4 linked regions of the Elephas maximus indicus genome follow. The protein of the gene in region 3 binds, or shares a complex with, the protein of the main gene of each other region. Links are inferred from orthologs where the notes say so. Each region holds a gene or a part of one and is shown on either strand. Other genes may lie near its edges. The genes, in order: MED7, CDK8, CCNC and MED24.

The links.
Region 1: CCNC (region 3) and MED7 share a complex: the UniProt entries of both Homo sapiens proteins name them as parts of the mediator complex. The link is inferred for Elephas maximus indicus from reciprocal best matches to the Homo sapiens genes CCNC and MED7.
Region 2: the proteins of CCNC (region 3) and CDK8 are in contact, whole or in part, in a crystal structure (PDB 5CEI), measured with the Homo sapiens proteins. The link is inferred for Elephas maximus indicus from reciprocal best matches to the Homo sapiens genes CCNC and CDK8. Residues at the interface, in NP_005181.2 of Homo sapiens: Met1, Ala2, Gly3, Asn4, Ser8, Ser9, His10, Gln13, Phe72, Tyr76, Lys79, Ser80, Ile81, Asp82, Leu85, Leu93, Lys96, Val97, Glu98, Glu99, Phe100, Gly101, Val102, Tyr130, His134, Leu136, Glu137, Glu139, Phe140, Tyr141; in NP_001251.1 of Homo sapiens: Met1, Asp2, Tyr3, Asp4, Phe5, Lys6, Leu9, Arg13, Gly58, Ile59, Ser60, Met61, Cys64, Arg65, Ile67, Ala68, Leu69, Arg71, Glu72, Leu73, Val84, Leu86, Ser87, His88, Arg91, Lys92, Val93, Asn145, Trp146, Val147.
Region 4: CCNC (region 3) and MED24 share a complex: the UniProt entries of both Homo sapiens proteins name them as parts of the mediator complex. The link is inferred for Elephas maximus indicus from reciprocal best matches to the Homo sapiens genes CCNC and MED24.

The regions. Positions count from the first base shown.
Region 1 is NC_064820.1:173,622,948-173,630,649, forward strand, and holds the start of MED7 (mediator of RNA polymerase II transcription subunit 7), read right to left. Parts: upstream 3,010-7,702; 5' UTR 2,924-3,009; intron 1-2,923. UniProt on the Homo sapiens protein: Component of the Mediator complex, a coactivator involved in the regulated transcription of nearly all RNA polymerase II-dependent genes.
Region 2 is NC_064841.1:58,014,673-58,021,633, reverse strand, and holds the start of CDK8 (cyclin-dependent kinase 8), read right to left. Parts: upstream 3,018-6,961; 5' UTR 2,328-3,017; coding exon 2,200-2,327; intron 1-2,199.
Region 3 is NC_064819.1:164,409,147-164,416,937, forward strand, and holds the start of CCNC (cyclin-C), read right to left. Parts: upstream 3,016-7,791; 5' UTR 2,741-3,015; coding exon 2,709-2,740; intron 1-2,708. UniProt on the Homo sapiens protein: Component of the Mediator complex, a coactivator involved in regulated gene transcription of nearly all RNA polymerase II-dependent genes.
Region 4 is NC_064837.1:47,307,354-47,315,020, forward strand, and holds the start of MED24 (mediator of RNA polymerase II transcription subunit 24), read right to left. Parts: upstream 3,016-7,667; 5' UTR 2,442-3,015; coding exon 2,189-2,441; intron 2,060-2,188; coding exon of another isoform or gene 2,007-2,059; exon of another isoform or gene 1,707-2,006; intron 1-1,706. Other genes in the region: THRA (thyroid hormone receptor alpha), read left to right, coding at 2,007-2,059, 4,532-4,599, 5,229-5,329, 7,397-7,544. UniProt on the Homo sapiens protein: Component of the Mediator complex, a coactivator involved in the regulated transcription of nearly all RNA polymerase II-dependent genes.

The sequences.
Region 1 (7,702 bases), on a different chromosome or scaffold from region 3:
ACGCTCTTCTGCCTTTGGCCTTTCCACTTGCTATTCTTTCTGCTTGGAATGTTTTTCTGCCTGATCCTAGCATGGGGCTGGCTTCAGGCATTAGCTTAAACTATCACCTTTTCACAAAACAGCGAGATCAACAGTAGGTCTTCTTTTATTCTCTGTACTAGTATCCTGTTTTTCTCTCCCATCAGACTGTAAACTCCAGGAGGGGAAGGATTGTGATAATCATAGTTCTCATTACGTCCACAGCCTTGCAGGTAGGACCTTTATAAATATTTGAGCAGCTCCATCCATTTCAAGAGGGCTCCAATCAATGGGAATTTGAGAGTAGGCTCAAACATCCTTAATGAGTACGCATTTCTCAAATATTTTTCTGTATGAAATGAGTATACAGGCAACATGATTACAATGATAGCTAATATTTTAGCGTACACTATATGCCAGACACTGTTCTAAATATTTTTCTCATAGTTGTGAGAAATCTGCAAAAGGTACTCTTATTGCCTCAGTTTTAGAAATGAGATAACTGGCTCAGAAAAGTTAAGCTACTTGCCTAATGTCACTGAGCAAGTAGCAGAGTAAGGATCCAGAGCCTAAAACTCTTAAATACTACACTATACCATTTTTCTAGACACTGCCTCCATCTTAGTATTGCTTGCAATCTTAGTAGAAAACAAAACTAAAAATTCCACATAGGAAAATATATCGTAAGCAAATTTTTAAAAGATAGTAACTGGGAGAAAAATGTTTGCAATACATAACAGTAAATACTAAACATTTTATTTTGATGTTTTAAAACTTATTTTCAGACTCCATCCCCACTAGAAGGAAAGCACCATAGTATCAGGAATTCTGCCTGTCTTGTTCACAATTCTATCTCAGCACCTCAAACAGTGCCTAGGAAATGCCTGATCATCAAAATAGCCACTGAATGAGTTTTTTAAAATCTATGCTAAAAAATAATAATAGACAAAGGATGAGAAGGAGAAAAATGCCAAATAAAGGTGGGAAAATGTTCAGACATACATTTTTCAGAACAAAACTTAAAATGCTATTTTTCATTTAATGGACTATAAAGATCTCAAATATCCCATCATTCAGCAAATGTCTGAACACTTCCTACATAGCAGGCTCCAGCAGAGGTCACACTCTCAGTTTCTTCAGAGTGGTCACCCAACTTTAGAAGCAGTCCCTTAGCTATTCTGGCCCAGCAGGTATGCCTTCTCAGGTGGAGGGCACCCACTCACTGCAGCTCTCACGGAAGCAGCCATCATCACTACCACTGCATGACTCCCCTAAGTGGTAAGCCAATACCACCCAAGAGAATACGGGGAATTTTCAGGCACAGCTGATGGGAAAGGAACCTAGTAGGTATTTGGAATTTAAAATGGCAATATCCAAATTTTACATGCTGATATTCTTTAAACCAACAATCCCATTTCTAGAAATTTATCCTATAAAAATACTGGTACAAGTACACAAAAACATGTACAAGGATGTTTAACATAGCACTGTTTGAAGAGTAGGAAAATTTGAAAATAACCTATGCCTTCATCAATATGAGGACTGGATAAAATACAATGTCTAATACTCTACAGCCATTTAGAAAAAATGGGTGAGTATGTGTGTGGTTGGGGGGGGCATTTATAAATATTGTTTCAATTATTTACAACACACTTAGTTGCAAACAGTTAAATCAACTTTTTAAAACTTTATTTTAACAAATTCAGAACTCATATTCTTCATCCTGATTTCCCAAATTTTAACATTCTCCTCATTTGCTTTAGCGGCTACTCATCCTTTACCCATAAAGTACTTCAGTGTGTATCCCAAAAACCAGAATGTTCTTTTATAACCACAGCATAATGATCAAACTAGGGAAATCACCATCCATACGGTACTTCAAAATAACATTTTGGACATCCCAGGTTTCACCCCACACAAACCTTTTTTCGGTTGGGAGTCCTGTCCTGTATGTATTCCCCAGCACCATTAGCATTCCTCTATTTAAGTCGCCATTTTCCAAAGGCCAACTACGTGACAGGTACCATTGTTTATATCCTTACTTAATTTTCATAATTCTATGATGAAGATCCCAGGGCTCAATGTGGGAAAGTACTTGCCTCAGATCAAACATTAGTAAATGGCAGAGCGGGGATTCTTATTCTTATCCCAGATTCTTTTAGTTGCAGAGCTCTTCATTAGCAAAGCTATGAAGCTTCTAACTGTACCACTGAGACTTGATATATTACAGAAATTGTGTTCATTTCTCCATTTCCTCTTAGATGGAGCTTTTTGATGATGGTGTTTTACTCATTTTAGTAAAACCAGCGCCACGCATCATAGCCGGTGTTCATACTCAACATCCACCTTCTTAGTGTTTGTTCCGTTCTGGGGACTTAAAAAAAAAAAGTATTCCAGGCCCCCCCACCCCAGGAATTTGATTCAGCTTGTCTATAGAGTGCCTCTGAAAAGTCGTTTTTAAAACCTCTCCAGGCGAGTCTGACGATTAACCTTGAGATCTATCGCCCCCCTGACCTCTATTAGCTCCCTGATGTGGGAAGGACAGAGATGGTTCTTTCCATTTGACAAAGGGCCAGAGGGAAGAAATAATTCGCCCATGGCAACACAATTTAAAAAACCGGCGGCGCGGGGCCTAGAACCCAAGCTCTCAACCTCAGTGCGGCTCGGTCTCCCCACCCGGACGAAGCCTCGAGTCAGCTGCGCAGGCAGCACCCTGCGGCCGGGTGTCCACTCAGGGGGTCGGGAGGCCGAGCTCTCCGAAGGAAGGGGAGAAAAAGGAGGGCCACCCTCGGACGGCGCGCCTCCCCAGGCCTCCCCCAACCCCAGCCCAGCTCTGAAATAGGAGTAGGGTCCGGAAGAAGAAACGCACGCAGACCGGAGCCCCAAGCCGTCGCCATCCACTAACCTCAGCTCTGGGCTTACACCGGTAGCCGCCTTAGCCACTGCCACCAAAATCCGATTTCCGTTCTCCTTCCCCAGGAAGAAGCTCCTAGGCGCTGTCCTCTGATTGGCGGAAAAGACTGTCTTTTCCCGAGACTCTAGTCCCGCCTCAGATCACTAGGTCGCTATTGCGCCTGCGCGGCCTCACGTAGTAGGCACAGCCGCTAGGAGGGGTTGGAGGTGAGCTTGCTGGTCTGTGTATTTTCAGTCATAAAAAAGAGAGGCTCATGGCTCCGTTCCTTTTTTTCTTTTAATTTTTTTAAAGTGCTTAAGACAGTTAAACAAAGCATCCATATGGTTTGTATAAAAACTAGAAAATACAGGTAAAATTTTTAAAAAAATTATATCAACAAAACTCTAAACCCACGTCAAAATAGTGTAAATATATAAAATATAAATAAATACGTATTAATATATATAACGTAAAAAATGACTAAAAATGATATTGGACTCTATATGGTACTTATAATTCTTTTAAATAAGGGTATATTTGTTAACATGCTTGGGAGTTACATGTTGTGAATCTTCATTCTTCATCATCCATTGACTTTTATTTTCATTTAGGAATTCAGAAGGGTCTATTTAATATTTCCAGGCAACAAATTACCAAGTTAAAAAAAAAAAAGACTCAGACTTAAAGGTTTCTTATAGAGGTTATTTTTGTAAGAAGTGGCACAAATTTCTAAATTTGTGGGAGTCTTGAAAGAGCTGTGGACCAAATAATACAAGTAGAGATGAATTTTAACAGAGCAGAACAAATGGGTAGCTTTTATGAAAATCAGCATGTTTTTGTGAAAAATAAGATTAATATTCATTCTGATAAAAGTTTGCAGCAGTTTTACCTCCTCAAAAATAAGATTCATTGCTTTTTTTTTAACTTACTGTGAAGAATTTCTAATATACACAATAGCAGAGAGAATAGTGTAATCAATTTCTGTATGCTCAGCACTACCCTGAATAACTACTAGCCGTAATTTCATCTGTATTTCAGCATGCATTTTCAAAAAATATACACTCATTTCCTTAACATAACCAGTATCATTATCTCATTTAAGAATAAACTAACAATAAATCTTTAATATCAAATATGAGGCCAGTATACAAATTTCAAGTATCTCAGGATCCAAATAAGGTCCACCTTTTGTAATTGACTGTGTCTTTTAATTTCCTTCTAATCTATAGGTTCCTTCTCCATCTCAGTTTTCCCTCATCTCAGTTTATTTGTTGAGATAACCCATAATTTCTGAACATACCCCAAATAAGCTCTTCTCATTTCCCTTGACATTGTTCTTGTCAAGGTCACCAGTGACCTACACTAATGACCTTCAATGGCCATTCTCAGTTCTCGTTTTACTACTCCTCTTAGCAGCATTTGACACAATTTGGTCATTTAGATTATTCTGGAATTCAGTTCTTCAGATACTTCTCGGTCAGATATTATCCAGGCCCTGGCAACACCCTCACCTCTGAGCTTTAGACCCCCGTACCAACATTATTAGACCTCTTTACTGCCAGAAAGTCAAGCTAGATTCAAAAGAGGATGTAAAACGAGGGATATCATTGCTAATGTCAGATGAATCTTAGCTGAAAGTAAAGAATATTAGAAAGATGTATACCAGTGCTTTATTGACTACGCGAAGGCATTCAACTGTGTAGGTTGTAACAAATTATGGATAACATTGTGAAGAATAGGAATTTCAGAACGCTGATGTGAAACCTCTCCGCAGATCAAGAGGCAGTTGTTCAAATAGAACAAGGGGATACCGTATGGTTTAAAATTGGAAAAGTTGTGCATCAGGATTGTATCCTTTCATCATACTTTTTCAGTCTGTATGCTGAGCAAATAATTTGAGAAGCTGGACTCTATGAAGAAGGTTGCCGGCATCAGGATTGGAGGAAGACTCATTAATAAGCTGCAGTAAGCAGATGACACAATCTTGCTTGCTGAAAGGGAAGAGGACTTAAAGCACTTATGGATGAAGATCAAAGACTACAGCCTTCAGTATGGATTACACCTTAACCTAAAGAAAACAAAAATCCTCACAACTGGACCAGTAAGCAACATCATGATAAAGGGAGAAAAGATTGAGGTTGTCAAGGATTTCATTTTCCTTGGATCCACAATAATATCCATGGAAGAAGCAGTCAAGAAATCAAACGATGTACCGTATTGGTTAAATCTGCTGCAGGAGACCTCTTTAAAATCTTTGAAAGTAAAGATGTCACCTTGAGGACTAAGGTGCACCTGACCCAAGCCATAGTATTTTCAATCACTTTAGAAAGCTGGAGTGTAAAAAATGATGACTGAAGAATTGATACATTTGAATTATGATGTTGGTGAAGAATATTGAATATACCATGGACTGGCCGAAGAATGAATAAATCTGTCATGGAAGAAGTACAGCCAGAACGCTCCTTAGAGGCGAGGATGGTGAGACTTTGTAGTGCTTACTTTTGATACTTCATGAGGAGGGACCAATCCCTGGAGAAAGTACATCATGCTTGGTAAAGTAGAGGGTCAGTGAAAAGAGGAAGACCCTCAGTGAGATGGATTGACACAGTGGCTGCAAGGATAGGCTCAAATATAGCAACGATTGTGAAGGTGGCACAGGACCAGGCAACATATAGTTCCATTTTACAGAACGTCACTATGAGTTGGAGTCTAATTTACGGCACATAACAACAACTATTCACTCAATTGCAAAGGCTCAAACATGAGAAGTCATCCTTTACTCCAGCTTCTTCCATATTCCACATCCAAACTACTGGCATTTTGTGTTCTTTTTTTAATAAAGTCCCAAATTTGACTAGTTTGCTCCATCCCACTGCTATGATCATATCCCACACCACATTTATCTCTCACCTGGACTTCTGAAATAGCTTCCTAACTGGTCTCCTCAATTTAACTTTTCCCCCCTCTTACTCTGTTTACTAAGGAGCCATGGTGGTGCAGTGGTTAAGCACTGGGCTGCTAACCAAGGGGTCTTCGGTTCGAACCCACCCTACCAGTCCATGGGAGAAAAGATTTGGCGACTTGCTCACATAAAGATTACGGCCTAGGAAACTGTATGGGGCAGTTCTACTTTGTCGTATAGGGTCACTATGAATCGGAATCAACTTGACAGCTCACAACAACAATCTATTTACTATTCTGTCTTAAAGGATAGATTTTTATCACTTCTCTACTAAAATTCTTAATGGCTTCCCATCTCATTTAGAATAAAATTCAACGGAGTCACCATGGCCTACGAGGCCCTTCAAAATTTACTTCTTGGCTCTCTTTCAGGTATTATTTCCCACCATTTTTCTCAGTGTTCACCCTTCTTCAGCGACACTGGCCTTACTAATTTTTCCCTGTAAAATCACTAAGCACACTTCCACCTCAGAGCCATTGGTTTGCCTAGAACTCTGCACAGACATCTAATGCCTCACTCTCTCACTTTGTTCAGGTCTCTGGTCAATTGTGACCTTTCTCAGAGAGCATTTCCCTGGCCACTCTGAATAAAATAACACACCCCCAGTCATTCTCTGTCTCCTTATTCTGTTATCCTTCCTTCATAGCACTTGTCATCATCGGAATCATTGAGTATATTTTTTATTTTTTGTCTTTTCCATCAAAATGCAGGGTTCATGAGGATAGGGCTTTTGTCTATTTTATCCACTGTTGCATTCTCAGCACCTAGAAAAGTTTCTGAATTAGCAAGTGCTCCATGAATATTTATTAAATAACAAATATATAATCGTATCTCTTTTTTTTTTTTTTTTGCTTTGAAAACAAATTTATTTTCTCACAGTTCTGGAGGCTAACGGTCCAAATCAGGGTCTTGGCCATGTCAATTCCTTATCGGTAGCTCTGGCTACCGATTTCTTGGTTTCTTGGCTTGAAGTCGATCCTCACGTGGCATCTGTCTTCCTCTGTGTGTGCATCTGTGTCTAACCTGCTCCTTTTGTAACTCAGAAGTGATTAGATTTAGGATATGCCCTACACTGTGTTCTCAAAGGATTGATTAACTACATTATATTACATTATGGAAAATGATTATATTAAATTGTATTCACAGGTATAAATCAGTTGCTGTCTAGTTGATTCTGACTCATGATGACCTCATGGGTGTCAGAGTTGAACTGTACCTGTTACAGATTAAATTGTGTGGCCCCAAAATGAGTGTCAGCTTGGCTAGGCCATGATTCCCAGGATTGTGTGATTGTACACCATTTTGTCATTTGATGTGATTTTCCTATGTGTTGTAGATCTTACCTCTATGATGTTAATGAGGCAGGATTAGAGGCAGTTACATTAATGAGCCAGGACTCAATATACAAGATTAGATTTTGTCTTAAGTCCATCTCTTTTGAGATACAAATGTGAGAAGTGAGCAGAGAGACACGGGGACCTCATACCACCAAGAAACAAGAGCCAGGAGAAAGCACGTCCTTTGAATGTGGGTCCCTGTGCTGAGAAGCTCCTCAACTGGGAGAGATTGATGACAAGGACCTTCTCCCAGAGTCTACAGACAAAGAAAGCCTTCCCCTGGAGCTGGCACACTGAATTTGGACTTCTAGCCTCCTAAACTGTGAGAGAATAAATTTCTCTTTGTTAAAGCCATCCACTTGTGGTATTTCTGTTATAGCAGCACCAGAAATTAAGACAATACTACATAGGTTTTTTTTCCCCCTGACGGCACTGGGGGTGGGGTGAATGTATTATGTTGTTGTTGTTGAGAATATACACAGCAAAGCATAC
Region 2 (6,961 bases), on a different chromosome or scaffold from region 3:
GACATGTCATCCATTAAAAGAAAAGTTCATCATACAAACAAAATCATTAAAGTTGCTAAAAACATGCCCAAAGGACTGCGAATGAAAAATTAATTTTTCCAAAACACAAGCTACTTTCTGGCTATCAGAAATGACAAAGAAATGTTTATACACTATACATTGAGCTATGTTTAAATTGTGTACCCAGTGAAAACCCAGTGCCGTCAAGTCAATTCCGACTCATGGCAACCCTATAGGACAGAGTAGGACTGCCCATAGAGTTTCCAAGGAGCGCCTGGTGGATTCGAACTGCCAACCCTTTGGTTAGCAGCCGTAGCACTTAACCACTACACCACCAGGGTTTCCATTGTGTAATTCTCCTCAAATTATTAAAACCTAAATTAAACTCTGATCATGAGATATAAAATGTGCTTAAAAGTACCTCAATACTAGTTTTTCAATAAAATATAAAATCAAAGTTAATACAAATATGCATATTTATTACCATAAATTGGTAATTTATGAAAACAAAACTGGCTTCTTTCAGAGAGCTTAAAAATAATTAAAGGTCATCAGAATTTTATCAAGCAGATGACAGACTGGTCAAATGTACTACAATGCCTAATCTCATGGGATTAGGGATTTTATGAATATGCTTAAAATTACATAATACTGGGGGATGAAGAGATGGTTTAAAGCTTTTGAAAAATATTATATGGGAAGCATAATTTAAAAATATATGTCATTACAGAGTAGTACCTTACTGAGAAATCTAATTAGACAACAAGACACAGCAGTATCTCCAGAAGCTGATTTCTCAAATGTCACCAGACCATCCATTCCCCTAAAAAGTACTTTTAAATACATGTGGCACCTGGAGTATCAAGTTTTCAAATTCCTACCTTTAACAGAGATAGCTGTACTGCTTTACTGCTGCATAAAGGCACTGAAATACACATTTCAAATTAATTAGTATTACCATTTTCTTCCTAGGGTCCGTCTTAAATTATTTTAGAAAGGTAACTAAGTAAATCTTAAAAAAAAAAAAAAGCTGAACATACATTTCCTTTCTAATATTCAGAATACTAAAGTATGTACAAATATGGCCTTTTCCCCCTATCCAAGGTAACTTATTTCAGCTTTATGAATGGTTACTCTTTTTTTTCTTTTTTGGTGCTAAATAGTTCTGAACATACCCTACTAATTTGAAATAAAAAAAAGCAATTATTTTAAATGGTAAATAGCAGCTAACCAAACTAACAGTAAAGCTACTTTTGCTTCTAATAAAATCCAAAGCTTTGATTTTATCTTCCCGTAAATTTCTATCATGTTAAAGGCAACAGAAACGACATCCATTTTTGCAAAAGGAAAGCAAAGAGTTAATCCAGTATATTTTCTCCCCAACCTAAATACTGTCTTCTCTTTTGTCAATATTACAAGACATTCATCTACTGACAAAGGAAAAATGAACACTTCACTTGCCCGTTTTAAAACTAAATAGAAACATTACCAGTCATAGATTTAATTACTTCTAGAGAAGAATGTCTAAAGCAAAGGGACTGCTTAAAGTTCAATGCCAGCTGCTAAATTTTGGGCGAACAGCCTTAACACCATACCCCCTATTTGTCACTTGCCTTTCCCCACCACCCACCCTGCACCAAACCCCCATTGTTCCGTGTACAAACTCAGTTAATGATACCCAAAGAGGGATTCCTACATTCATGGAGCACATGATCACTATGAGGAGCTCCTGACAGCCACATTCACTTGCTGCCTTTTCTGCCCTCAATAAAATCTAAATGTGGTAATAAATCCATTATGAAACCGATGAGGGAAAGGACCACTGCGTTCCTTCCAGAGTGACGGATGTCACTCTAGAGGCGGGTGAGGAAATCCTCAGAAGGTTATCATAATAAACCGACCCCCCCCCCCAAAAATCATTTCAACTGACGTTTCATAACGAATACTAAAAAAAAAAAAAAAAACCCGCACTGATGCCCCTGAAAAGTACACAGCCCACGGACGACGGCTGTTCTTCCCGGTCAGCCCCTGCCACCCAGAGGAGCACGCAGGGTCTCTGGCGGCCGCAGATCCCTCGCACAGCACTTCCTCCCGACCTGGCTGGAGCAGACGACGCGGGGTCGAGGAAGTGGGAGCCGGCACCGGCGGCCGCCCTCGCGCTCCTCGCCTCGGCCTGGGGCGACACGCACACACACTCACCCGTCTTTCCTCTTGGCTTTGTAGACGTGACCATAAGTGCCTCGGCCAACTTTGCAGCCCTCGTATTCAAACAGGTCCTCGACCCGCTCCCGCTCGCTGCTCAGCTTCACTTTAAAGTCATAGTCCATTGTCACAGCCTCGGAGGCCGGGGAGCGGGGCCGGGGGGCCGGGTGGCAGCGGTGGGGAACGGGGAGGCACGGGCAGCCGCAGCCCCCGGGAGCCCACCCGCTCTACACCTGGCAGCGGCAGCACCGGCCCGACGGATGCCGCAGGAGCAGCAGGAGGCCCCGCGACAGCCCCGGGGACATCCAGGGGGACAGCGGGGCAAGGTGGGGACGGGGAGGCCTCCCCGCCGGAGGAGAGCGGAGGGACGAGGCTGGGGGAGGGGTGGGGAGCGGTGTCGCTGCCCTCGTCCCCGCGGCTCCCCGGGCGCCGGTCTCCCTCTTCTCCGGCTGCGGAGGGAGCGCGGGGCTGCCGCGGCGGGCGCTCCTCTCCTCCTGGCACACACGCACTCACTCTTCGCACCCGCTCGCACACGCACACGCACACTCACTCACTCACTCACTCTCCATACACTCACACAGAAAAGCGGCGGCCGTACAACAGCCGGTACCTCCTCAGAGAGAAGAGGAGGGAGGGGACTTGCGGAACACGGCCCGGTTGTCGCAAAAACGTCGCGAAGGCTCAGGCTGCCTCGAGCCCTCCCACCACCCGCTCCAGCTGCGGCCCGCCGCCCCTCCCGGCGCCCGACGCCCGGTGACAGGGGGAGAGAGCGAGGGAGCAACTGGCCGGAGCGGCGGCCAAGCACAGCACGTGGGCCGTCCTGAGCGCTGGCCTGAGCCCCAGACTACAATGCCCAGAACGCACGGCGCCACCGTCACCGCCCCTTCCAGGACCCCGCCCCACGCAGGGGCAATGTGAGGGCGTGGTGAATGATGGGATCGGTAGTTCGTGGTGAGAGAAGTTTTAATTCATGTTGTTGGGTGCTGTCCAGTGGTTCCCGAGTCCTAGCGACCGCATGTGACAGGGTAGAATTGTCCCATAGGGTTTTCTAGACTGTAATCTTTATGGAAGCAGATCGCCAGATCTTTCTCCCGCAGAACAGCTGTGTGGGTTTGAACCACCAAACTTTGAGTTAGTAGCCAAGCACTTAAACAGTGCACCACCAGGGCTCCTTTTCAGTTATTTAGGGAACGCTTTTTATTATGTTTTATTATTTTTTACGGCGCACTTTTTATTTTTTAAATATCCTTAGAGTCTAATTTGGGCTATAAACTTGGCCAAGGAAGTTCACGTGTCAGGGAGGCTAGTTTGTATTAGAATCACATTTTGTGCTACTTGACGGTCACTCTCCCGTAAGGTCTGCACAGTACTATTCGCATAAGTGACACATGTTACAGACTTCGAGGAAAGTCAATCAGTGAGGAGTGTGATGCGACACCCAAATACTGTTACTCTTGCGGTAGTTGCCCATGCGAATGGTTCCGGTCTATTCAGAAGGAAGGTTACGTTGAGTATGGCCTTCGTGTAGAACCACCGATGTTTTAGCCATAAGATTACAGTCATGGAGCTAAATCAATGGAAACTAATTTGTTGATAATGTTTAGGTAGAAAAGGTGTCTCCTGGAGGAGCCCTAATATCTTGACAATAATCCCTCAAATTGCCTTATCCCTCTCATTTGCACATTCTTTTTTTGTTTGTTTGCTTCCATTTGTTACCATTTCCACTAATGCTCACCACTGTCCAAACGATATGATCACTCCCACTTTTAAACCCCCATAACACTTTATTTTTTCCACCTGTCCTGTGGTACTCATCAAATTCTGTTTTGTCTTGTATTCCCTCTCCCTTGCTAGATTATAAATTCTTGTAGAGGGTCATATTTTTCTCTTCCATAACACCTAGCATCATACCTTGACTATGGTGCACTGTAAACATTTGTTGACTTAATGAGTGAATGAACATGTTTATGTCAAAAATATCTGTGTACAGATGATGATGATGCAATTTTGTGAAAATCCTCAAAGGAACCCTTGTCTTATATAAATTTCCTCAGAGGAAATCATGACCTCACCATTGGTTTAAGTTGTTTTTACTTTAGCCATTAAACATAATTTAGTGTTTAAGTACCCTGACTCAGGTTAGATGACTCTGAGTTTGAATCCTGCTTGCCATTGATTAGCAGTGTATCCTTGGACTAACTCTGAGCCTCAGTTTGTGTCTTTGCAAAATGGAGATATAAAAGGCCCAACTTAGAATAAATGCACAGCAAATGTAAGCTTCCGTTAATGAGATATTACATGCATTTGATCGGTAATGTAATTTGGGTGACTCTCTAGCAGGACTGTGCCTTTGCATGGAGAATTAATTCTTTTCCCTAAGTATGAATTTAGACTAGACTCTTCCTGAAAATTTATTTTGTGTTTTTTGAGGGATGTGTCTTTTTGTCCAAGTATTCACTCATAGATTTTGAGAAACCAACCCACCACATTGGAGGAAAGGTGGTGCAGAGGCATGGCAGTGGGCTTGGCCCCATACTTGGGTGCCCCACCCCCATCCCACCACCTACACATGATATTCCTGAGCACTGAAGATCCCAGACTTTTAAAATGTACTTTTGAGTACTATTTTGTACCTATCCATCCTGTGGATGAAGGTAAGAATTCTCCCTGAAGTAACTGAGTGTTCTGATTATCAGTTCTCTGAGACAGGAACGGAAGCTGGCCTTGCACTAGGGAAGAGAACCAACCGATTGCTGTGGAGTCGATTCTGACTCATGGTGACCCCATGTGTGTTAGAGTTGAACTGTGTTCCATAGGGCTTTCAGTGGCTGATTTTTCAGAAGTAGATTGCTAGGCCTTTGGTTTCTGAGGCACCTGAGGTTGGACTCAAACGGCCAACCTTTCAGTTAGAAGCCAAGTGCGCTAACCATTCACATCACCCAGGGAAAAGAGAAGGGCCCGCTATTCTCTCTGAAGCTAGGGTGAGAGTTAGGAGTCTGGACTTCAGGGTGGGAGAATATGGTGACATGAGGTAAGCCGGCCCCTTAAGGCAGCATCAGGATGCGGAGCTAAGGAAGATTGCCACTAGGGGGCCCCTTACAGGGGAGCAGGGCCAATGTGTTAGAAGTGGTAACAGCTCATATTGGTTTTTTTTTTTTTTTTTCTTCATGGTAATTCCCTTCTGTTATACCCAAGCTATCAGCCTGGTCTTTGCTGTGGGGCTTGTGTCTGTACTTGGAGGAGAAGGGGCAGCAACAGCCTGCAGAGCCAAAGCAATGAGCCAGGAAGGACTAATGGAATGTGTAAGCATTCCAGATACTGGAAGAGTGGAATCTGGTTTTAGCATGCACTTCCTGTAGTTCAAGGGATGGAAGTTCAGACTTTATTGTTATTTGAATGAATTGAACATATCAGGAACATGGAGCTGTGATTTCAGTTTGATTTCCTAACTCTGATCATACTGAGTTCACATGTCCATTTGCTCCATGATGACCTCCACTGATGTTGTAGAATCTATGGCTTCGTTGGCCTACACTCCAAACAATGGCCTAATAATTTTCGTGCTTCTTTTCTTAAAATATGATTTTATTTACATTCCAAATTGAACATCTCCAGTGTTATCATGCCTCCCAAGCACCAGCCCCACAGTTCAGTTGCCTCCCATACAGCCTAAGGGGAAATTCTGCTGTCATCTCAAACTTAAAATTTCTGCAAGTGAACATACTATACTATTCCCTGAATCTCTCAGTTCCTGTGATTAGCAGTACCAGTAGACAGTCATTCTGCTGTTTGCCAAACCCATGAGCCCAGGCCTTCATTACCTAACATTGTCCTTAATATTCAAGCCAGATATGCCTTTGTCTGTCCTATTCTCCAAGGTTGGAATGCCCTTCCTCATATCGTCTCAGACCTTTGCAGTCCACCAGGGAACAGCTCAAATGCTTAACTTTTATCATGAAGACTTTCCTGATCCCTGCAACTAGATGTGATCTTTCTTTCCCATGAACCGCTCCCCCAGTTCCAGCCCCATCACACTTTATTTGTAACTTATCTAGAAGCATCACAATTATCTTATACTTCAGTTATTTATTTTATGCACTTAAAAAAAATCTTTCAACTCAGTCAATTGATGTAATATAGTTCACAAAGTTCATGTTCTTTATCCTAGTGAAGTGAGTAGCATCTGGGGTCTTAAAAGCTTGCAAGCGGCCATCTAAGATACAACTATTGGTCTCTACTCATCCAGAGCAAAAGGGAAAGAGGGAAATAGAGACTCAGAGAAGAAATAAGACTACAAGGCTAATAGTCAACATGAGCCGTGGCCTCACCTACCCTGAGACCAGAAGATCTAGATGGTGCCCAGCTACCACCACTGACCATTCTGACCAGGGTCACAAAATAATTATCTCTTACAGTGCCCAGCACATATCTTGCATAATTATAATTAATAAGAAGGTGTTTAATTTAATTGATTTCTCTAAAGGTTGAAATGAATCTTAAGATTAATAATAAATGGTGTAGGCAGTCATTTTAAAACATTTAACATCTTACCTCAGTCTTGCCTCTCAAGGTAAACCTTCTGCAGCATGCAAAAGAGCTTGCTGCTCAGTGATTAGATGAAAAAAGAAAAAAAAACAGACTTACTGCTTTATGATATATTAATGTAAAAGGGCATTCTTGACAACACACAATACAGGAGAGGTTAGCACAACTGCAAAGCAGTTAGCACAAAAGCAAAGAAATTTCCTGAGTAAACTGA
Region 3 (7,791 bases):
GTTTATGGTCTTTGAATCAATATTCAAAAGTGAGACAGGTTTTTAGTGCTTCCTTTGCTAGATTTTATCACCAGTGTTATAATGGCTTCATAAAAAGAACTGGAAAGCATTTCCTCCTTTCTGTGTGAAATGGAACAATTTCAATAGCAGAGCTATGATCCTCTTGAAAGTTGAGGGTAATTTATGCAGGAAATAATGTGTGGGCCTTGAGCATTTTTACGAAGTCGTTCTGATAACTCTTAATTTGCTTTCTAATTTATGCCATACAGATAGTCCAAAGGTATATCTGGGTTCATTTACCTTTCTCATTCCTAATTTTATATTTTTACATCATCCCTTTTTTCCTTGTCTCAATCAGCAGTAGTTTATCCAGCCTATTGTCTTGGTTTTCCCTCCCAAAAAACCAGCTCTTGTATTTTCTGACAATTTTTTCCCTTTTATTACATTAATAAAAGTTTTACTTTTATTAAGTCTTTCCTTCTATTTTCCTTAGGTTTGTTTCACTGTTTCCTTTTTAATATTCTTAGGTAGAATTTTAAAAAATTTATTTTTATTCTTTCTCATTCAATAATTTAATTTTTTTACGTTCAGCATGGCTACATTCCATAAATACTGATATATATTGATCTCATTATATTATTTTCTAGATATTATGTAACTGTATTTTCAGTTTCCTCTTTGATACAATAAAGCATCCAGAGTTGGTTTTGTAGTTTTTATTTTTGTTACGTGCTCATTCATTCATTCAACCAACCTGAAAATATTTATTTAATGCCTTTCTGGTTTTACCACATTGTGATCAGAGAATGTTTTGTGCTACTTCAATTTTCTGGAATATATTGTGACTTGCTCTGTCCTGGAATTAACACTAATTTCATTTCCACAGAGTCATTTTATCTTTTTAAAAAGATAAATTTCAGAAACAAATATTTTTAAAAAATTTCCTCCCAGCATTTTGTATAGAGAATAAACCAAGACTTATAAATACCACATTTCATCAAACTTAAGATTCCACTGGCTGTAAAACTCATCATTATTTCATGTGTTACTAAGAAAAAAAAACTGCCATGCCAATTTCTGAGAAGTTAAAATGTGAAAATGTGCACCTTATAAGCCATGAAATACAATCTTTTTCATGACGTTTCCTCTTTCATCAAAATCTCTGATACGTACCTAAAGCAATGTCCTTTCATAATCTTTTTGTTTTTTTCACGAATTGATTGTCTTGTATTTCATACCTGTTATCTTTTACAGAAAAAGGACTTCATGATAATCAAGGGAGTTAAGTGAGGTAAAGTGGCCCCTTCCTTCAGGACTATTTGAATTGGCAGGCAGGGGCAATTCCAAAAAAGCACACTTAATGTTGTAATAACTTTATATCTCAATAGTGAAAAAAACAACTGTTTCTATAATGCCAATAGTAAGTGAAAGCATAATGAGAATGCTCATCAAAAGGGGGACAGGGTCTCTTTTCTAAAAGCTAAAAAACTGCATTAACTTCTGACGACCAACTGCCAGCTTCCCTGAAGTTCTCTCAGCTTCTCTCCAAGTTTATAAGAATACTCTTCTCCACTACCTATGCCTTCTATATTTTAACTTTGCCCAAGCAACTATTTCAGTGAGTGAAAAAACTATACAAAATAAAAATGGTATAATTTGTAAAGCTTCTAGAGCATTTCAGCACCATAGAATTACTTTAGAGCAAAGAGGAAGACCTGCTTTTCTGCAAATAGGTTTCCAAGGCCACTGTTCCTTTTTTCTTCGGGAAAGGGCCAAAAAACAAAAGAAAGGAACCGATGCTATTCATAAAATCAAAGTTGAAATTAGTTACAAACACTCTTACCATTAAAAATTACTTACACTAAGTACAGTCTTATCACGTTCTGTTCCTATTTCAACTTTCCAGTGAAAAGTCTAGTCAATGTTTAATTAGCCCCATCACCCACCTTCTTGCCTGCTTAAACAAATGCACTTAGGGAAAAATGTTTTTAATATAACTCTAGCTCTTCCACGATCACTGACAGAAACAAAAACTTATTTACGAAAAATTGTAAACTAGCAAACAAAATCACTGGAAAACACTTACAAAACAAAATACAAGGCACAGAATAATGAAATGGCTAAGTCTTGCAAGCACCTGCTGTATCACCTACCAACATAAAACTCCATCTGGGCATAAGGTAGTGGCAGGAAGTGGTTAGTGAGAAGAAACACGGAGTTCCCCCTCCTCCTCGGAACATTATTAAATACATTCAAGATAGACGGTGAATGACAAAAGACCAGGTGCCGATCCTCTAAAGTAATCCCAGGCAAAATCGAGCCACAGCCATCCTGAGGAGCCCACCTCACAGTCCACAACTGAGACACACTTCCCACACCCGGAGCCATCACCCAACCCCCTCCCCATCCCGGGCCTAGCTAATCCAACAATCCTAAATTAAACTCCTCAACCTCCCTTTCTCGGAGACTGCCCTGTCCCCACCACTCCGGGTCACAGATCCTTCCCCGAAACCGGGCTAGGGGGGCAGGAAAAGGGGAGTCATCTCAAAACAGCGCATCCCGCTGCCGGCTGCCGGCCGCCGCCGACTCCCGGGAGGACCCCGAGGCGCTCGGGACAGGGACCAGGATGCAGGCCAAGGGGAGCTGCAGGCCCCGTCCTTACAGACCCCTAAGTGCCGGCCCTGGACGGAAGACGGGAGATCACTTACTAGTGGGAGCTCTGCCAAAAGTTCCCTGCCATGGAACACAGCTTGCCCTGATAAAAAAGCACCAGCAGGCGGAGCGGCCCGCGGAGCGACCATAGACCCAGCCCGCCCGGTAACCGAGCTCCTCGACTATAATCAGCTCAGCTCCGCTCCGCGGCCGCAACGGCGAGAGGAAGAGGATGCCACGCTGTTCTCCTTGATGCCGGCCGGCAACACTGCTGTGTAAACTCGTTCCCTTTAACAAAGGTTCCGGCCCGCCCCGCGGTAGCGGAAGAAGCCGGCGGGGAGGAGACGGCCTGTAAGCGCGCTAGGTTAGGAGACGGGAACTGGTGCTCACGGGAGCTCCTGGGTATTGGTAGAGTCTCGCGAGAGCTTCGCGCCTGTTTCTCCTGGAGCTGGATGGTTTGGTGTTCAGTCATCAAAACTGGCTACGTTTAGTGGAGTTAGCCTGACGGGAGGATCGCAGTACTGGGTTTTGTTATTGCATCTTCAAGGCCTTTGAGACAGCATAATGGTATTGTAATAGACCATTAGGTTTTTTGATTTATCTTATTTCTTCGGCTATTGAAAAGAAAAATTATTTTGGCCTCACAGACTTACCGACATCTACTGGCACCAAGCCTAACATGTCCTTTTTTTTTAAAAAAAAAATTATTTTGTTGTTGAGAATATACATAGTAAAAACCAAAAAAACCCAAACCCGTTGCCGTCGAATCGATTCCGACTCATAGCAAACTTACAGAACAGAGTAGAGCTGCCCTATAGAGTTTCCAAGGAGCGCCTGGCAGATTTGAACTGCCGATCTCTTGGTTAGCAGCCGGAGCACTTAACCAATACACCACCAGGGTTTCCAAGAAAAAGAATATAACATTATTAATGCAAAATTAGGTTTAAAAAGTAAATGTTTACAATACAAAAAGAAATTATAACAAGTTTTGAAAGGTCGGTGGTTTGAACCCACCCAGCTCTGAGGGAGAAAAGGGCTATCAATCTGCTCCCTTACAGATTACAGCCTAGGAAACTCTATGAAGTCAGTTCTTCTCTGTCCTATAAGTCGCTATCAAGTCAGAATCAACTGGATGGTAAACAACAAAAAGTAAAGCCTTAGAGATTCAGGTCTGTTATGGATTGATTTGTGTCCCCCTAAAATATGTGTTGGAATCCTAATCCCTATACCTGTAGATATAATGTAATATAATTACTTTCCATAATGCAATCTAATGTTATATTAATGAGGCCATATCAACGTCCTAAACCTAATCACTTTTCCAAAAAATTTTTATTGTGCTTTAAGTGAAAGTATACAAATCAAGTCAGTCTCTCATACAAAAACTTATATATACCTTGCTATGTACTCCTACTTGCTCTTCCCCTAATGAGACAGCACACTCCTCTCCACCCTTTATTCCCCGTGTCCATTCAGCCAGCTTCTGTCCCCCTCTGCCTTCTCATCTCCCCTCCAGACGGGAATTGCCCACATAGTCTCATGTGTCTACTTGAGCCAAGAAGCTCACTCCTCACCAGTATCATTTTCTATCTTACAGTCCGGTCCAAGCCCTGTCTGAAGAGTTGGGTTTGGAAATGGTACCAGTCTTGGGCTAACAGAAGGCCTGGGGACCATGACCTCCGGGGTCCTTCTGGTCTAGTTAGACCAATAAGTCTGTCTGGTCTTTTTACGAGAATTTGAGGTCTGCAACCCACTGCTCTCCCGCTCCATCAGGGATTCTCTGTTGTGTTCCCTGTCAGGGCAGTCATCTGTTGTAGCCGAACCTAATCACTTTTGAATTATAAAAAGAGCCGATTAAACACAGAAACAAGGACAGGGGAAGACAGATGCCTCTGAGGATTACCAAGAAACAAGTAATGCCCAGGGCTACAAGGAAGGAATCTGCATGGCTGAGACCCTAATTTGGATTTTTAGCCTCCAGAACTCAAGAAAATAAATTTTTCTTCTTTAAAGCTATCCAGTCATGGTATTTGTGTTCCAGCAGCACTAGGAAACTACAACAAGGTCCCTGTCTGCTGTAAACTCTTTAGGCAATTTTTCAGGAATGTTACATAAAAATGCTTCCTGTTTGCAACCCTGCTCTCCTTCCCTTTTCAGACAACCAATTGTCCAGCAGCTCCCATCACTTACAGGGGCCTAAAGCTTAGAAAGTATTAGCTTCAGGGGAAATTACATCTGAGGGTACTTGGTAAGTGTAGGTTGAATTGAGTTGCATCAGGTTGTTATAGCTTGAAGGCACTAACTCCCATTGATCTAATTCCATGCTTACCAAGCAACCTTCCGATAATAATTTGTCTTTCCACAGGAATTTGCCTGTAGACAGAAAATACTCTGAGGAGTGAACAAAAGGATCTGATCCATTTGGTAGTTATTATCCTTATAAATCAATAAATTGATATTGGACTTTTGATATATGAGTTTCTGTGAGCTTGACTAATGTGCGTCCACACCTTAGAGATAATTTCGCTTTGTGGCGAAGTGGTTAAGGGCAATGGCTGCTAACCGAAAGTCGGCAGTTCAGATCTACCAGGTGCTCCTTGGAAACTCAACGGGGCAGTTCTACTCTGTCCTTTAGGGTCACTATGAGTCAGAGTAAATTCGATGGCAATGGGTTTGGGTTTTTTCTTTTGGAAGCTGGCAGCTCAGGTTTCTGAGTCTTCTTGAATGAGTGGTTCTGGGGAAGTCCACTTGTCTCAGTGGCCTTCTCCAGGTGATATCTGACCTTGATACACTTTTCTCTTCAAACAGAAACTCAGAATGGATTTTATCACCTGGCTATGGACTGAATACACTTCTAACTTCTTCCATTGTATTCTTTATCCCTGGCACGTTGGCCAACTCCTTTCCTTCTTCTTAGTCATACTTATTTCATAACTATATATTATAATTCTTTTGGTGCAAGTAATAGAGACTTGCTAAAGTTACCTCTGGAAATTTATAGTTCATTGTGAAAAGACTCATGGATTGACAGGAGAATTGTAATTAGAAAACTGTCAAGAACCAAAGCCAACTTTTCTCTGTGTGTTTCCTCTGTTTTCCTGTTCCCAGCTGGCCTATGCTATCCCTCTATTCTGTGTATTTTCTGTCTACTTCGTAGATTCTGATTGTTGTAACATTCGTTTGTATGCTTTTCTCTACATCATGAACTGTCATCCTTACTCTACATCATTATTTTCTTAATTTCTTTCATCTGCTTGTTTTTTATATAGTTAGATGTCTCACAAAAAAAAAAAAAATTGTCCGGGGCCACGCATACCTACAGGTAGCCCTGATGAAAACTACCACAATTGGCTTAGAGCAGTAGTCCTTAATCTTAGCTGTATTTTAGAGTTACCTGCTTCTAAAACATTCTAGTTCCCATACTCTACCCTCAGACCAAATGTCTTCTATAGAACACAAATGCAGACACAGACATACACATGCACATAATATATGCTTGTATATGAGCAAGGGGAAAAATGTGGAAATATATGCATCAAGTCATTAAATGGATAACCCTAAAGGGGTGAGTTAAGGGTAGTAAGAGAACAGGACTTCCCCTATAGTACAGGGTCTTTCGGAGGGGGGATTCCTTTTGTATAAACAATTTGATTTAAAATTGTTTTTAATCAAAGACTGTGAAGCTAAAGAGAAAAAAAAAACTGCACATAAATACTGTATTGTAGTTTGTAAATTTGTTTTCTGAACCTGCTTTACATGTATAGTGGGGTTGAACAAAAAAAGTAAATTGATGGTAGATAATGGGAGCCAAGTCTTTCACTGCCAGAGAAAGAAGTTACAAAAAATCAAAGACCAGAATGAATTCTGTGGTAATAAAGTCAGAGATTGCAATATGAACTCTTGTTTAGTTTAATACAGTGTGATGGTTAATTTTATGTGTCAATGAACAGGAGCCAGCTGCAGGATCCAGAGGGAGCAAAAGCCCACAAATCTTGCTAGAAAGTCCACCTATATTGGTTGCAGGCCACACACCCAAGGAAACACCCATTCAACTGATTGGCTACTCACAACAGATCCCATCATGGAGGCAATCACGTTATATCAGATCTCATCATGGAGGTGATTACATTTATTATACAACTGCCAGACTGTTATAACTGCCAAACCACTGAGAATCATGGTCCAGCCAAGTTGACACACAACCTTAACAATCACAACGTGTAGCAAGTCTGGCCAATGCAACAGAGGGGAAGTCTGCTTAGAGCTTCAGACAAGGTCTTTCTTGGTCTTATATCTAAAGCCTTTGACAAAAAAATTAGTCCCTCATCTACTATACTGTTAATGTGTCTGTTTGCCAGTGGTTATTAACTAGGGTGATTTTACCCTCCCCCACCGGGAGACATTTAGCAATGTCTGGATATTTTTGCTTGTTACATTTGGGGTAGTGCTACTGGCAAGTAGCAAGTAGAGGCCAGAAATGCTGTTAAAAATCCTATAATGTACAGAACAGTCTCCTACTACAAAGAATTACTGACCTAAAATGTCAATAGTGCTAGAGAACCTCTGCTGTTTGTGATAACTATGGTGTGCACATATCTTATGACCAGGAGGACAAGACAGTCAGACTGAGTATGATAGAACTGGAAGACAGGGCAAAATTTGATTCTTGGTGACAACATTGTGCAGCCACTGAATTAATCAATCCTGGAGCACCTGCCTGTAGATTTTTTGTTGGGTGAAATTATACATCCCTTTATTGTTTAAACAACTTTGAGTTGGCATTTGTGTTACCCGCAGCCAAGAACATCTTAATTGGCATATAAGGAGAAAGAAGAAGGAGTACAACAAAGAACATGTGAGGCTATAAGCACAGGGTGTTCCAGGAAAGAGGGAAATGGCCCATCTGGTATAAATTCTGGCCTCTCTGACAAACTGTATTTGAAATCCTACTTGCTCTGGAAGACCCAAAAATTACTACTAGTGTTACTGAGATGCTCAACTAGACATTTCTATGACACCAAATTGCATTGATTTTATTTGCTCCATTTCTCAAGCATTAAACTTATTTGTAAGTGACTAGAAATCAGTAAGCATACTTATGCTTTTTATATATTCTCTTGTTCAAAACTTCTTCTGTTC
Region 4 (7,667 bases), on a different chromosome or scaffold from region 3:
GCATGCCAGGCGGGCAGGAGACAGGCGGGGGCAGCACCGCAGCCAGGGTGTGCCAAGCACCGAGGCACAGCCTGGGGGGAGACAGGGAGACACCCAGACCCAGAGAGAGAGACACATTCAGAGGGAGACAGACTGTGCAGCGAATGAGGCCTGGATAGGCAGGGATAGAAGTGGGACTAGGCGACAGAGAGAAAATAGCCTTCTCTTGTCCAGCCCAGCCCCCATGACTACCAAGCCCCCTGCCCCTCACTGTGCTGGCTGAGAACAGCAGGCCCCAGTGCCCAGCCCCTGGGCATCCCCACCCACCTCCACCCCTCAGGGCTGGCTACGCCATTATAAATTTATAACAGGAATTTCTCCACAAGCCAAGAAAAACTTGACCTACTTTCTTGACGGCTCCCTGGGCTAAGGCTCCCCGCTTGCCCCCCTCCCCCAGTCTCCTATCCAGCCCCCAGTGCCCAGTTCTGGCCTGGGGGGGTATCAGAGGCAGAATGGGCCTTCCTTCTGCACTCCTCCCCACACGGGGGCTTGCCTGGATGCAGAGGCCCTGTCCTGTTGTCCTGCCCTGCCTAGTATCCTGACTTATCTCCCTTCTCCTCCCACCCTGGCTCCTTATCAGTTCCTGGGGGTCGGGTTGGGGGGGGGCCCAGGGGTGAGATCTCTGGTGCAGTGGCCACATGATAGAGGTTGTGTGTGGGGAGTTGCACCCTTTGTCCCCGTCCTACACCCACACCTGCCTGTGTGTACACACACAGTAAGCCCCAGATCTGCAGCCTGGGTTGAGAGGTGCTGTGTAGATGGAATAGTGGGCCCAGACTAGCACTGCCCTGGACTCCAGGTAGTGGAACAAAGCTAGCATTAGAGCCAGGCCACTAAGTTTAATCCTTGAGCCACCTGCTTATAGCTATGTGAACTTAAGTAAATGATCAAGTTTTCTGATACTCAGTTTCCTCATCAGGAAAGTTCTGATGCCCACTTCAGAGGGCACGTATTATCTGCTCAGTCAATGCGTGTTCCCTTTCCCCTTCCCCTCACCATCCTGGTAGGTGGCAGCTCAGCTAAACTGACTGGGAAGTCTGGTCCTCAGACTGGGAAGTGTGACCTAGGACCTTGTATGGGAAGCCGTGGGGTCCCTGGGGGGCCAGGGTTGAGGAGTCATAACTTGATCAGCAGCAGGTGTGGTCAGCTCCCCACCACTGTTAGTATCTCTCTCCTTGAGACACTAAGATGGGCATCTATGGTCCCTGAACGTTGTCCTCATACCCCACCCTTCCTTTACTGGTTCTCCCAGGGCCTAGGCTGAAAACTGCTCATCCCTGATCCCCTTTTGCCCCTATAATACTGATGAGTTTTAGGGAAACAGCTAGAGGGGTGGTAATAGTAGCTGACGTTTATAGATACTTATTAAGGGCCTGGCACTTGATAGAATGTGAGGATTGAGATGTGGTACACGGTACACAAATTACCTCATTCCTTTCCTCCATCCCTCTCCATCTCTGGAGTTTAGGATATAAGTCTACAATCTTGTTGGCTAATCTAAGAGATTACCCTGTTCCTTCCCTGGGGAAGCATAACTAGGTTACCTGTGCCTGCCCACCACGTGCTTCATCATCCTGTTGTGGACCTCAAGAACCCAAATTGCTACCACCAGAGGAATCCCCCCCACCATGGAACCTTCTTACCCTTTCTCTTTCTTTTCTCTGCAGGGACTTCAGGACAGGACAAGACACTGAGCCTACTCCCCAAACCCCAGCCCAGGACACCCCTACAAATCCAGCTCACCCCCTAGCCCTCCCACCTGCCACTCCCTGGCCCCTCTCACTGCCCGCCCCCCTTGGGGCGCAGGGCATGGTGTGAAGGCCAAGTGCTGAGGCAGGCACCATGGGTGCTGTGCCCTAGGGCTTGGGTGGTGGGGGGTGGGTGGCCTGTGGGTGTGCCGGGGGGGCCTGTGTGCCCACCCCAGTCTCTTGGCGTGCTGGAGTGCATCCTGGATGGAATTGAAGTGAATGGAACAGAAGCCAAGCAAGCTGGAGTGTGGGTCAGACCCAGAGGAGAACAGGTAATAGGCCCAGGCAGTGGGCATGGTCACTTGGCTGGGCATAAGGCCTCCCTGACAAGAACTGAGCTCAGGCCTTTTAAGCACCTCTTGGGAACGGGCTTGAGGCCAGCAAGCCTGCTGCCTACCTACCTTTTCCCCAGGAGATGAGGTCACGTTTAGATGTGGCAGGGAAGTAGGCACCTGGGTTCAGAGATGCCCATATCATACGCCTATGATACGGAGCAGAGTATTCAGGCAGCAAGCATATGGCTCTACCCTTGACCATGCTGGACAGTCTCAAATGCCCCCCAGTGTCTCCTCTGCTACTGCTGCCCTCACCTGAGCATGAGGTATCCAAAAGGCCTTGCCACCTTCCTCCTCCCCCTACCAGCCCATTCACCATCTGACCACAAGTGTGTTGTCCACAGGCCCTGGTGCATGTAGCATGACATTTCAGGGCACATGCACCAGTTACTACTGGTCACAGCTCGCGTTTGTATTGGAACCTATTGGGAGCCCCACAAACTATTCCTTGTTTATGGGGAAGGGCGGGTGCTACCATGAAGCTCCTCCCAGGAAGGAAAGCGCAGGCCAACCGTGAAGGTTTACCCCACACTACCCCACACGTGAAGGTTTACCCCACACATGGGGAGGCATCCGCCCAGCACACACAAGTAGGGATGGGTTACCTGTGCTCTGCATTGTCCTTGAGGAGCCCAGAGGGTCTCTGCCATCAGCACCAAGTGGCACAGAGTTCTGTCCCAGTTGGCATAGTGCCCCAGAAGCTGGGTACAGCTTGTGCCTATGGCCGGAGAGAGGATGGAGGAGGGGTGCTCTGGGGAGCAGTGTGGCTGTTGCCTAGGAGACCAGATCCTGAGCCAGGAGGCCTGAGGCCTGGCCAGGCAAAGCCCTGGGGCCCAAGACTGGGTCCCTGGAGGGGTGGAGGAAGTGGGTGGGGCTTGCAGTTTGGTGGGCCCCCCAGGGAACCCCTACCCCAAAACCTCACCCTAGGCGAGACTCTGAGAAGGAAGATCTGGCCTGTCCTAGTGCGGCTCCGACTTGTAGTTCCTGTACCTCCCTGCCCAGGCTTCTGTAGGTCTGAGAGAGTCTGTCCCAAAGGGTTGGAGAAAGGCGGGAATGCCCTTTCCCGGTCCCCCTAGGGTTGCAGCCCCTCCCTCCCCCGCCTCCCTCTCGTCTTTGTCCCCTCCCCCATGTCTCTGCGCCACCTTGTGGCTGTCCCTGGGACTGCACCCAAAGGCTTCCAGGTAGGTAATCTCTGAAGAGGCCAGCTCTACTGGAGCCTAGGTGGCCCGGAGTTCCTCCCGCACACACCCCCACCCAGTAGACCAGAAGGAGATCCTGACCCTCCAGCCTTGTCAGAACCAGACAGGGGTAATCCCCAGGGGGTGGGGAGCACAGGGCTGTCTGTGATTGTGACCCTGGCCAAGGTCACTGTGTCAGTGTGTTGGGAGCTGTTTTGGGCTCCAGGAGGAGGAGTCCTGACTATGCTACATGCCAGGGTGGGTGTGGGAGGTTATACAATCCGTGCATGCATGTAGAAGGGCTTATGTAACCTGTTGGGGGGGGTTATGTAACATGTATATGGAGCACCAGGGTGACATATATGTGCAGTGGAGGAGGGTTGCTAATACTTGGAGCGCAGGGGCTCAGGGTCCTTGTCCTGGCTCTGTCTCTAGCATGCGGTGTCACCAGGCCCAAGTGGGACTTTGGTTTGCTGCTCTGTTAAATGGAAGCCATGGACAGCGTGATTCTGGAAGGACTTTCCTGGTCTTTCATTCTTGGTTCTAGGTGCTGGGAGCTAGGCACTGTATGTTTTCAATCACTGTGGATTATTTAGTACCTATGCATGACTGGAAAATCAAACAACATGTTCACAGTGGGAGGAGAGGGGGTGGTATTGTTAGGTGCCTGTCCAGAAGGTTGTGTATCACATGACTATACCCTAGAAGTCATATAACTCATTTGAGAATGCCCTAGAAATTGCATAGATGTAGATAGATCCTGGTGCCTATTTATCATACTTGGATTTATACTGAAGGCTGCATAGTTATTTGTATGTGCTTGTGTTATGTTGCATGTATGTGTGTGTGCATGTTCTAAAGCTTGCGTAGCTTTAAGCATGTCCTGGGGACACCTCCAGCGTCTGTGTCATGTACTGAAGGTTGAAGTATGTGGATGTCCTTTAGATTATACAGCAGAGTGCTTAATGTTCTGCAGTGTGTGTGTGTGTGTGTGTGTGTGTGTGTTGGGGCCCTAGAACATGCTTGTGCCCCAGCCAAGCCCCTTATCTCTGTCCCCTGCAGTGTCCAGATAGCAGGACCTTTCTTAGCTTTGTCAGCTGACCTGAGGGTGGGGGTAGAATGAGGATACAGATGGAGGGAGTTGGGCCTGGGGGGTTGTATAAGCCTCTCAGATGAGAAAGGGGTTTCCCAAGGACTACTCTGTGATTCCACCCACTTTGTCCCCATCCAGTGCCAGGTCACCAGATGGAAAGCGAAAAAGAAAGAACGGCCAATGTTCCCTGAAAACCAGCATGTCAGGTGAGCTTGGTTGAGTGTGCCCTTCCTCCCTGCTCCCCAGCCAGCGCTGGCCTCTCCTGGGGTCTGACACGCACCAGCAGCTTCTGTGGGGGGATCCTCTCAGAGGGCTTGGGATAGACTTGTCCAGGGGTAGGAGGGCTGATGTGGCGCATGAACCAGGCTTTGAGGATGAATTAGGTCAGGAAGGGCCTCTTCCCTTCTCCCATAACCCCCATGCTGAGTCCCTCAGCAGAATCAGGGCCTGGAGAGAAGAGCCATGGGACTGCATTCTCCTGAGAGAAGTGCTGATATTTGCTTCTGCCTCCCACCCCCCCATCCCCTACCCCTTGGAAAGCAAGGCAGCAAAAGCCCAGAGTGGGCAGCCAGAAGGACTGGGATTCTTCATATTCATTAAAAAAACAAAACAAAAAAATCAGTTGCCATCAAGTTGATTCCAACTCATGTCAGCCAGGGATTAGATATGATGACCTGTGATGTGTTCCCAGGATTCTCCTTGCAGACAACCCTTCAGGGAGGCTGGGTGAGGGCATGGCCAGAAAGGAAAAGTTGGGGGATGGGGAAAGTACAGGAACCTATCTGCTGGGACCCCAAGCCATGCCTGCTTGCCTCCCTCCCTCCCTCCCTCCCAGGGTATATCCCTAGTTACCTGGACAAAGACGAGCAGTGTGTCGTGTGTGGGGACAAGGCAACCGGTTATCACTACCGCTGCATCACTTGTGAGGGCTGCAAGGTATGGACCAGCCGGCTCCTCCCCTCCCCTACCGCCTGAGCCCCTATCTCACTCCCTTTGAGGCCCTCAGTACCTGGCATGATAGAAAAGCTCTATAAACATGTAACCTCAAGCCCACCTGTAATACCATCATTTCTCTTTTTGCACTCATTCATTCATTCATTCTTTTGTTTGTTCATTCATACATAATCCCTGCTCTGCCACTCACAGGTAATTTGCTTAACCTCTCTGAGCCTCAGTTTCTTCACCTATAAAATTGGAATAATCATTCTGCCTACCTCATAGAGGTGTTAAGAATGAAATAGGATAGTTCACATAAAGTGTTTAAAACAGTGCCAGGCGTGTAAGAAACACCCCAATAAATGCCAACTATTGCCCAACCGTTCAGTGCTCCTGGCCTTGTATTAAATGTGAGGATGGAGAGTATGTCCTGTCCTCAAGTCAGAGAGAGACAGACTGGAAACAAATATCAGTGTTTTTCAAAATGAGGCTCATGGACCGCCTACAATGCTAGATAAAATGCAGATTCCCAGGCCCCATCCCAACTGTAATCAGAGCCTCTTGTCGTGGTGCCCAGGAATCTGCCTTGTAATGGGCTCCCCAGTTGCTTCTGATATACCCAAAGAGGTGAGAGCCTCTGCTGGGGGTCATGGTGGGGGCACAGAGGAGAAGAGGATGGCAGGTTCTCCCTGTGTAGAGCGGACAAGGTCATAGACTTGGGGAGGCATAATTAGATTTTCTGTTGGTAATTTCAGCCTGCATGGCTTTTCCCAGATCACCACCTCCTGAAAAGGTGGGCCCTTCCAGGAAACAGAATTATTCAGTGTCAACTACACCAAGACCACCAGGATTTACTGTCCCATGGCTGTGTCCCTGGAACCAATACAAGCAGTGTAGTGTAGAGCAAGGGTCCTCATGCTCAAGGATATTAAATCCCCAGGGAACATCTTGAAAAGACAGATGCCTTGGCCCTACTCCTAGAGAGTCTGATTTAGCAGGTCTGGAGTGGGGCCTAGAAGTCTGCATTTTTGGTAATTGCCTTAAGTGATTTTAGTGCATCTCAGAATCTGAGAGCTCAGACCTTGCTGTTCCATATCTGAGGCCCAGCTCTCGCTCTTCTGCCCGTTAGTCATGTGACATTGGGCAAGTTGCTTTATCTCTCTAAGCTTCAGTTTCTTAGCCTATGAAACCAAAAACCAAGCCCATCGCTGTTCAGTCAATTCAAATAGATTCTAACTCATAGTGCCCTATAGGAAAGAGTAGAACTCTACCACATAGGGTTTCCAAAGCTGTAATCTTTATGGAAGCAGACTGCCATATCTTTCTCCCATGGAGTGGCTGGTGGGTTTGAACCACTGACCTTTCAGTTAGCAGCCAAGCTTAAGCACTGCACCACTAAGTCTCCAGCCTATAAATGGAACAATAAGAGTTCTACGTCATAGTTAAATGGCATGTCACATAAAAATGCTTACAGTGCTTGACACATAGTAAGCATTCAGTAAATATTGGCTATTTGCATTACTACTACCATCTTGGTTCTTGAGGGTTTTCCTTTGAAGAAAGGGCTAAACCTGGTATATATAATTGGTGAAATTTTTCTTTTAAAGCTACTAGAGCATGTACCGAAATGTCTTTTCTTAATTTTTTTGGTCTCTCTATTTCACGAATTCCGCCTACATGGGAAACTGACAACATACAGGAAAATGATTTTGTGGTCACTGTTGTTTTTAGGGTCATTTAGCAAGTTGGAAAGTAAAGTATTAATTGGACTTCCTAAGCTCCTATTCCTTCAGACCTCCTGGCACCACACACTATCCCCAGATCCGAGTCTCCCTACTGCAGTCATCATTCTTGGCCCTGCCATCACCACTGCCCAGGTGCTTGGGGCGAGGGCACTCGTTTCTAAGGTCCCTTGCCCTGGCAGAGCCCAGTGATCCTGGGCTAGCTGTGTCAAGAGGACCCCAGGTCCCCTCACTAATCTCGCCCCCTGCCATCCCCTGTGAACTGTATGGTTGATTCAGGAAGGGGAGGTTAGGATCACAACATGCTCGTCTTCCCCTGCTCCAGGGCTTCTTTCGCCGCACAATCCAGAAGAACCTCCATCCCACCTACTCCTGCAAGTATGACAGCTGCTGTGTCATTGACAAGATCACCCGCAATCAGTGCCAGCTGTGCCGCTTCAAGAAGTGCATCGCTGTGGGCATGGCCATGGACTGTAAGGGGCTTGAGGGGAGGGAGTTGGGGCAGGTGCCTGGGGGTTGGGGTGGGTGAGGGATGGCAGCTCCCTTCCAGGGTACCCTTAGGGCCCATAAGGCAGAGTTCTAGTCCAGGCCAGCTG